2 linked regions of the Macaca mulatta genome follow. The protein of the gene in region 1 interacts with the protein of each later gene in a biochemical or structural test. Links are inferred from orthologs where the notes say so. Each region holds a gene or a part of one and is shown on either strand. Other genes may lie near its edges.

Region 1 (4,710 bases):
TACTCGGGAGGCTGAGGCAGGAGAAGGGCATAAACCCGGGAGATGGAGCTTGCAGTGAGCTGAGATCTGGCCACTGCAGTCCAGCCTGGGCGACAGAGCAAGACTCCGTCTCGGGGGGGAAAAAAAAAAAAAAAAGAATAGCTTCAACTCAGGAGGCAGAGGTTGCAGTGAGCAGAGATTGAACCACTGCACTCCAGCCTGGGCAATAGAACAAGATTCTGTCAAAAAAAAACCAAAAAAAAACAAAAAAAACCCCACGATTTACAAGGTAGATAAGTTCTAGCTTAAAAAAATACGGCAAGACTCCCATCTCAAAAAAAAAAATAAAAAAAAAGACTTCTTGGTCTGGCGCAGTGGCTCATGCTTGTAATCCCAGCACTTTGGAAGACCGAGGCGGGTGGATCACCTGAGGTCAGGAGTTTGAGACAAGCCTAGCCAATATGATGAAACCCCATCTCTACCAAAAATACTAAAAAAAATTGGCCAAGCGTGGTGGCAGGCACCTGTAATCCCAGCTACTCAGGAGGCTGAGGCAGGAAAACTGCTTGAACCCGGGAAGTGGAAGTTGCAGTGAGCTGAGCTCACGCCACTGTACTTCAGCTTGAGCAACAAGAATGAAACTCCGTCTCAAAAAAATAAAATAAAATAATAAAAGACTCTTAAGTAATTTTACCAAGTTCACTCTTACTTTCTTATAAACATAAAATTACATTTCCTTGGTTAAAAAAAAAACCAAAAAACAAGTATTGTAAATACAATTTGATGGATTTCTGGCACAGGACTGGAACCACATATAATACTAAGCAAATCATCCTAAGGGTTTTCATGAGCAAGCTACCAAGTGCACGATAAAACTGACATGCCAAGTACAAGTGCATATTCATCCCATCAAAAAGTCACTGTAGTATTATGCCAGGCTAGTTTTTGTTCCCATGAAAATAAGATTTTTAAAAATAGTTTTATTCAGTGGAAGTACACATATGAATTCCTCACCTGTCGTTCACAATAGGCTTTCATTAGTTTACTAAGTGGTGTATGCCTCTTAATCTTAAACTGCACCACAGAACCATCCTGCCCCGCCACCTTCAAATTAATATGATCGTTGTTCTCAGTCTTGACTCCTTCCTGTTAAAAGAAAAATAAAAGTATAATTTGGGAAATGTGATCAACACACACTTTTATAAAGCAGCAGCAGCCCTAAGTTGCTTCAAAAATCAACAGGTTTCTCATACGGTATGCTAAAACGGCATACGGCTGTTTTCAGCTGCTGAAATCAATGTGAAAGAGGAGAAATCCTGCAGCAACAGTATTAGATAGCTGTCAGATACAGAAAAGCCTACATGCAATACTATCAGTAACAACAATACATGTTTAAAGTTGGGTCCTATTCAGTGTATTGAACGTTCTCTTGAAGCTAAACTTTCTAAAATGGCATATATCACTCCCAAAATATATATTTTACCCCCAAAAAAAGTTAAAAATAAGAGTCTCTTTTCTAAGCACTTTAAGTACAACTGCAAGAAACAAAACAATAAATCTACAGCCTGCCATTCAAAACTCATTACCGTTGTCGTTAAAAAGTTACCAAACTCAGTTTAATAACCTAAATCCAATCTCCATTAAAGTAAACACACACACGAAAAATCGAAGAATATCCCGATTCCCTCCGGAACAGCGGTAATACTCAGGACCACAGTTACGTTCTCCTCTATTAGCAGCTTCATTTTTATCTTCGGTTAAGAGCACTTATTCTCCCCTCCCCTTTGTTGTCATGGGTCAAATACACAGTTTTATCCCAAGTGTTTCTTGTAGATTTCGACCCAACCTAAAGTTGTCCAAAATCGAGTGTAGAAGGCATGCTGTAGCCCTAAAACGCTTCAGAAAGTAAAGGCGCGAGAGGCGGGAGGTGTCACCAAACTAAAAGCAGCAAGTCCCGTGTGCCCCGATGATGGGTGTCCCCCAGTCCTCCCGGGAAGTCTTCGGGTGCCTCAAAAGCCGCATTCAAAAGTTAAGCCGCACAAAGTCTCTCTGCTCCTACCTGTGCCTCCAACTTCATGAAACCACATGGTCTTCGCGGATTAGGGGTTCGTTGGCACCCAGGGAAAAGCCGCTGCCCCTCCCCCCTCAGGTCCCTGAGGCCATTAAAGTGGGAAATACTCCACGGGAATCCCCCTACCCCCAGGCCCAGTACGGCGGCCAGCGGGCATCCAGGTTCCTGCTCATCAGCAGCCCATTGATTCGCCCCGAACCCTCGCCCCGCCGCCGCCGCCCCGGGCAGGAGTCCCCAGATGCCCGCGGTTTCTACCCCTGAGAGGTGAAGCCCGAGCCCAGGGGACTCCCCGCCGCCTCGGAGACTGCAACACCCGACGCGGGGTCGGCGCAGGGTGGAGACCCCGCGCGCCCTAACGCCCCTCCTCACGCGCGCCGGACGGCTGGGCCAAGAATCCCCGTTCGGGGCTGGTGGGCCCGCGGGCGTCCGCGATCTGCCCGCCCAACTCGCGCCCCGCGCGCACTCGGAGGCCGCCGGGGGCGGGAGAGAGCGGCGGGGCCTCCTCCGGCGCGGGAGGGAGGAAGAGAGGGAGGGAGGAAAATGGCGCGGAGCGCCGGGGCCTGAGCTGCGGCCGGCCCTGTGGGGGGCCCGGGAAGGCGCTGGGAGCCAGCGGCGAGCTCTGGCCGGACCCCGGCCCGCGCCCTGACCCCGACCGCGCGGCGAGGCGAAGGGGCCGGCGCCGAGCTCACCTTGGGCTTTTCGTCGGCCATGGCGAGCGCCGGAGTCTCCTCAGCTGCCGCTTCACAAAAGAGGTACCAGGTCCGCACCAAACGAGCACACAAGCAGCACCAGGAGCGGCAGAAGAAGGAGGCGGCAGCGGTGGACGAGGGAGAGGGTGCGCGCACGTCGTGCGCTCCCTCCCCCCACCCTGCGTGCGCGAGCACGAGCCGCCGGGGCCTCCCATTGGCTGGCGCCTCGCGGGAGCGCGCAACGCTTACATAACCACCCCCACCCCCCGCCCCGCGCCACCGCGTCCTGGGCCAGGCGCCCGCCCGGCCGGCGGGAAGAAGCGCGGACACGCGCACCCGGCCCGCCGCGGGGGCGCGCCTGGCTCTGGGCGGGGCTGTATTGTCCTCCTTCGTGGTGGAGCATAATCAAAATGGCTTCCAGCTGGTCCTCGGTGGGAACGATGAGGCTCGAGGCTTTAGACGTGAGCCATAGGCCAGGGAAGGCTGACTGACTAGAGGAAGAAGGGGATTCCTAAATCAAAGCCCCAGCATGAGGTTCTGGAAAAATCTCTCTCTTTCAGTGGACCAGCAGCCCTCCCATGGTTACTTCCTCTCAGTCAGTCTTAACCTGCTTCCCACCGGACTCTTGCCTCAAATGCAGTGTCTTCTTCTTTTTTTTTTTTTTTTTTTTTGAGACGGAGTCTCGCTCTGTTGCCCAGGCTGGAGTGCAGTGGCACGATCTCGGCTCACAGCAACCTCTGCCTCCCAGGTTCAAGCGATTCTCCTGCCTCAGCCTCCCGAGGAGCTGGTATTACAGGCGCACGCCACAACACCCGGCTAATTTTTTGTATTTTTCGTAGGGACAAGGTTTCCCCGTGTTAGCCAGGATGGTCTCGGTCTTCTGACCTCGTGATCCGCCCGCCTCGGCCTCCCAAAGTACTGGGATTACAGGCGTGAGCCACCATACCCGGCCTGCAGTGTCTTCTTCTGTCCTGCTGGTAACCCTAGACTTTGACTAGCTACGGGAAAATGTTCGTGTATTCATTCAACGAACTCCTTACTCATCGCCTATCTTCCAAGAGGAAACAGTATCCTTAAGCGAGAACTACCCAACAATCAAGCTTCCAGCCAATTTAATCATTTCCTCCTTGCATCCAGTTAAAACATAGACATGCATCCCTCCTGTCTGAAGAACAATCCAGTGTGTGCACTGGATTCCATCTTGCTCCTCCCCCTGGGCTTTATTATTTGCTTTTGTCCCTGAATTTTCTTCCTCTCCTCCGTTAGTATAGAAAAAAAAAAAAAAAAAGAAGAAGCTCTCAATTCTATTAAGTTACCATCCTATCTCTCTCCATTCTTGGCCAAACAGCTTGAAAAAATGTCCCTGCCAGCTGTCTCCAACCCCTCCCCTCCCACTCACTCCTCAACCCACTGCAATCTGGTGCTGTCCCCAAAGTTCCACTAAAACTGCTCTCCACAAGGTCACCGCAGACTTCTTTGCTGAATCCAGTATGCTTCTCAGTTTGTCACTCTTTCTCTTGAACTTTGCAGGAGGTAGGTTTTCCTCTCATCTCTAGCCTGTCCTTTGTTCTCTCTGCAATTTCTTTTTCTTACTCACTCCTTCCCTTAACTGTTCCTTAGGGTTTTCTTCAAGATCCTTTTATCACTCAATTCCCTCTCCGAGGATGATTTCACCCGCTTTCGCTGCCATCTCTTTGCTAATGATCCTCAAATCTGTTATTTCTAGTCCACATCTTTCTTCTGAGTTTCCAGTTGGATGTCCCAGAGGCACCTCAAACCCAGCAACTCTCAACTAAAACTCCTCACTTTACCTTTCGCGTGGGTTCTTCTTCCTGACCTACCACTCTTAAACTGTGTGACACACCACTACAACAGCTGCCCTAAGCTGGAAAGGCCAGCGACATTCCTGACTTCTTCTCCTTCACACACTCCTCATCCAATCAATCACCAAGTCTTGTCTATTCCACCTTC
Region 2 (4,052 bases), on another chromosome or scaffold:
CACCCAGCACTTCCAAGCATTGACACCATATGAATAGTTGAGCCCGGTACAACTAGGCTGACTGCTCATGGAGTCCCGGGAGCAGCTTTCGGAAAGCACCAGCCGCTTTTGACCCTGGAGGAGAAGAGAAAGCAGGGGCATGGCAGAGGTAAGGCCAGAGGCAAGGTGAGAAAGCTAGTCAGCACCATATTTACTGCTGGCCGGGGCAGGGGCTGATGTAAGTACACAGCAAACTTCCACAGCACAGAGCCCCAGGAATAGCTTTGATGACCTTGTGAAATGGGGGAAGAGTAAAGTTTGGCTTTATCTCAGTACTTCTAGTGTTGGAGAAAGGAGGTTAGGGAAGGTCAAACTATGGTTGCTGGCTTGGCTCTCACATCCTCTCCCCTTTGGGCCTCCATTCTTCTTTTGTACATATGGTAGCCCCAGCCCTACCTTCCTCATGGTTCGGGGAAGGTCTTGTTCAGTAGACACATCCTCAGGCCCTACTAGGCCACAATCAAAGAGGAAGTCTACACTGGGATTAATGTCCAGAGGATCTAATAAAAAGGAAAGAAAGAAGAAATCAATTTCTTAAGATCTCAACCCTGCAGCCCTCCTGCCCCACCCCTGCTACTTGCCCACTTGACACTAGATGAGCCAAAGGAACCAGTAAAGCTATACCAAAAAGCATGCTCAGAGTCACAGAAACACAAAACACAGCAATGTGAACTACTGAGCTGTAAACATGTTGAACATAGTGAAAATTTTTTTTTTTTTTTTTTTGAGACGGAGTCTCCCTCTGTCGCCCAGGCTGGAGTGCAGTGGCGCAATCTCTGCTCACTGCAAGCTCCGCCTCCTGGGTTTCCTGCCTCAGCCTCCCGAGTAGCTGGGACTACAGGCGCCCGCCACCACGCCCAGCTAGATTTTTGTATTTTTTTTAGTAGAGACGGGGTTTAACCGTGTTAGCCAGGATGGTCTCGATCTCCTGACCCCGTGATCCGCCCGTCTCGGCCTCCCAAAGTGCTGGGATTACAGGCTTGAGCCACCGCGCCCGGCCGAACATAGTGAAATTTTTATGTTTTTTTACAGTTTAAAAAAAATAATAAAAAAAAGCATGACTCAGAAGTCTAAAAGAATGCACCTGTCCTGGTGTCTCTGGCACTGCTCCCTGTGAGAACCTTCTGTCTTAGAATCACAATGAACACTTTTCAGGGTCATACTCAGGGACACAAGGAACATTCCCTTCCTGATGGCACGAATGCTACCATACCCAGTGGGCACGGCTCCAATCTTACTCACTCTTAGGGAAGTCTGCCTCCAAGTCTTGCCCAGGCTCATCCAAGACATTGGCCATCTTGACTGCCATGGCCAGGACATCATCTCGAGCAGGCCCAAACAGGTCACAGTCTTCCAGGAGTCCCTCTGCACTCTGGTTGCTCACAAGATCTGGGAAGCAGAGAAGTGGGCTCAGTGGCTACAAGCTCCTGCTAGCACCCTCACAAGCTTTCAGGGGCTGATCCCAACTATCCTCCCATTCTACTAGGCACCAAGATCATCAATAGCTCCCCCTCGGGCAGAGACACGCTGGTAGCACCCTGTCTCCCTCATCGCCACCATCTATGGCATACCACAAAGGTCAGATGAGGCCTTGTCTAACTCCTCAGCCTCTGCAATCATTTCTGCCATAGCCAGGATGTCGGCCTCCAAGGGGTTGGAAGGGATCTTCACCTTCAGCTCCTCAATGGTCTCTACAATCTTGTCTGTGCTCTCCAAGGTAGTGGGCAAGAACATGGGCACAGGCACCTGGAGGCACGAATCCCAACTAAATGCCAAGAACCACACCAGCAGTTGGGGGAAGGGGGGGACAGATGATGAGAGTGAAGGGGGACAGTTGATGAGAGTAAGGGGAAAGGGTGGATCTCAAACCTGGAAGGGGAAAGGAGGACCCAGCCAGGAAGGGCAGGGAAACTTACCGGGATAGGCATCGAGAAAGGCACCGGGACTTTCTGGCAGTACAGATGCATAGGCACTGGCACGAAGATGGGCACTGGGATGGGCAGCACAATCACCTGTGGCTTCCACTCTTCTGTGGACGAGAAAAGGGATCTTCTCAGAGACCCTGCTGGACTGATCACATCGGACCCGCCAAAAGCTCTAACGTGCTCAGTGTCACAAAACTGCCCTTGAAGCAATGGCTGAAAGACACCTCTACGATTTTAGGACAACCATATGCATGAGGCTTCAGCTACCTAAGGAATCCCCTTGTCCAGTTCACGGACATAGGGCTGGCAGGCCTAGGACTCCGGAATACAGCCTGTGGCATCAAGGTACCCTGGCTCACCTGTCTGACTCCCTTTGGACTTCATCTCCACCTTGCAGGAGACGCCCCGATTCTGCATCAGCGGCTTACACATGGCAGCCTTGTTTTTGCGGGGTGTTGCTGGGGGCGGTGGGGGTGGAGGAGGGGTGGGAGCCGTGGGAGCTGATCGGGTCTTCACAGGGATCTGCAAAGAAAAAGGAACATTTGTGCCGCCAACTGCCGTACCCTCCTCTGAGATTATCCTCCCCCTTGGCTTTTGCCCCGACCTTGCCCAAATTCCCATTTTCCTCTGGGGTCCTCACTGTGTTGCTGTTCTCCACTTTGGTTTGAGAGGGTGTCTGGGGTTTTGACTCAGGAGACTGACCTGTAGATCAAAACAAATGAATGCTCTCATCCAAGGGACTAGCTCTCCATTTTCCTTACCCCTGTTCCAGGAGAGCTTCATTAACAGGTACACCAAATACAGATGGGAAGTTCTAGGATTTGCCCCCCTTGCCATCCCAGATCTAGTCTCCTCTGTGCCCCAGCAATAGTAGCCTAAAAGACTCTTTGCTCCTTGAGAATGAAACATTACATTTTCCCCAAAAACCCACAATTGAGACCTTCCATTTAGATAGCCTGGGTATCCCTGGAGTTGTGGAGGGGCAGGGGCAACATTCTAGAAATGACAGTCTTCAGTCTCACTAAAGGTAGAGTTTATGCTGAGATTTCCTTATCTCAGAAAAGTAACCGTAACCCCTATATGCCCCATCCTATCAGGATAGGCACCCACTCCCTAATAATATACATTTCATAGACAATCAGTAGACGCTAACTCCAAGAAGTTTTAAATAAGACTTCCCCTTCTGAACCGCAGGGTTCGGAAGCTAAAAGAGAATACAGTTCACAGTACTAGCACCCTATCTGGCCAGGGATGAGGTGAATGCAAGAGGAAGGAGAAAGGGGCTAGGCTTAGGATTAGGAGAGTCCAGGCCCCCTCTAACAGAGTGTACCCCCTGCCCGGGACTCACTGTTCAGGAGGCTCTCGGGCCCACTCTGGGTATCCAGGTTGGGTTGGTTCTGCTGGCTATAGAAGCGCAGAAGACACTGCTGGTTGCAGAAATGACGGATCTGCCCACGCCAGTGGATGGTCTCCAGCAGCTTCCCCTGGCGCTTACAGGCATGGCACCGGGCAGCCTGAGGATGTCAAAAGGATGGTCAGACCTGCCTCCCTAAAATGCGTTGGGCCCTTTCTTTCCCCTGGGATAAGCCATGCTCCTCCGCTTGGAGATCGGGCCGGCTTAGAGATGGAAGGCTGGCTGCCCTGCCTGGAGATCTGTCCACACCCCGAGCTTAGTACCACAGCCTGTGCTCCCCGCCGCCCTCTTTCCCGCCTCGCTCGCGTGCTGACCCTCCTTACCTTGCAGTACCACAGCAGGTACTTGCTTTTACAGTCCTCACTGCAGAAGTCCCAGGTGCTGCCATCCAGTTGCTCAGTGACTCCGCGCTGGCAAGTCTGGGAGCAGTAAGTACAAGTGATACAGCACAAGCCCAGCTTCTTAGTGAAGTCCTGTTTGTACAGCAGCACACAGCCTGGAAAGAGGGGAAGAGGAAAGAGAGTCCAGAGACACAGATACCCAAGGGCAAGAGACCCAACCTTTTCAAGGTGCTACACCTGAAACCTCTCTCTAAGCAGCCCCTTGTGCCCAAAGCTTTAGGGGAGGTGGGAGTAGAGCATCCCGGGCGGAAGGCTCTGCCTCACGGACCACTT

The links.
Region 2: the proteins of SUMO2 (region 1) and ZMYM3 form a complex in vitro, tested with the Homo sapiens proteins (2 studies listed by BioGRID). The link is inferred for Macaca mulatta from reciprocal best matches to the Homo sapiens genes SUMO2 and ZMYM3.

The regions. Positions count from the first base shown.
Region 1 is NC_133421.1:84,873,324-84,878,033, forward strand, and holds the start of SUMO2 (small ubiquitin-related modifier 2), read right to left. Parts: upstream 2,890-4,710; 5' UTR 2,761-2,889; coding exon 2,740-2,760; intron 1,126-2,739; coding exon 994-1,125; intron 1-993. UniProt on the Homo sapiens protein: Ubiquitin-like protein that can be covalently attached to proteins as a monomer or as a lysine-linked polymer.
Region 2 is NC_133426.1:77,711,877-77,715,928, forward strand, and holds part of ZMYM3 (zinc finger MYM-type protein 3), read right to left. Parts: intron 3,875-4,052; coding exon 3,702-3,874; intron 3,479-3,701; coding exon 3,313-3,478; intron 2,667-3,312; coding exon 2,569-2,666; intron 2,487-2,568; coding exon 2,324-2,486; intron 2,069-2,323; coding exon 1,956-2,068; intron 1,786-1,955; coding exon 1,611-1,785; intron 1,429-1,610; coding exon 1,282-1,428; intron 540-1,281; coding exon 436-539; intron 115-435; coding exon 1-114. UniProt on the Homo sapiens protein: Plays a role in the regulation of cell morphology and cytoskeletal organization.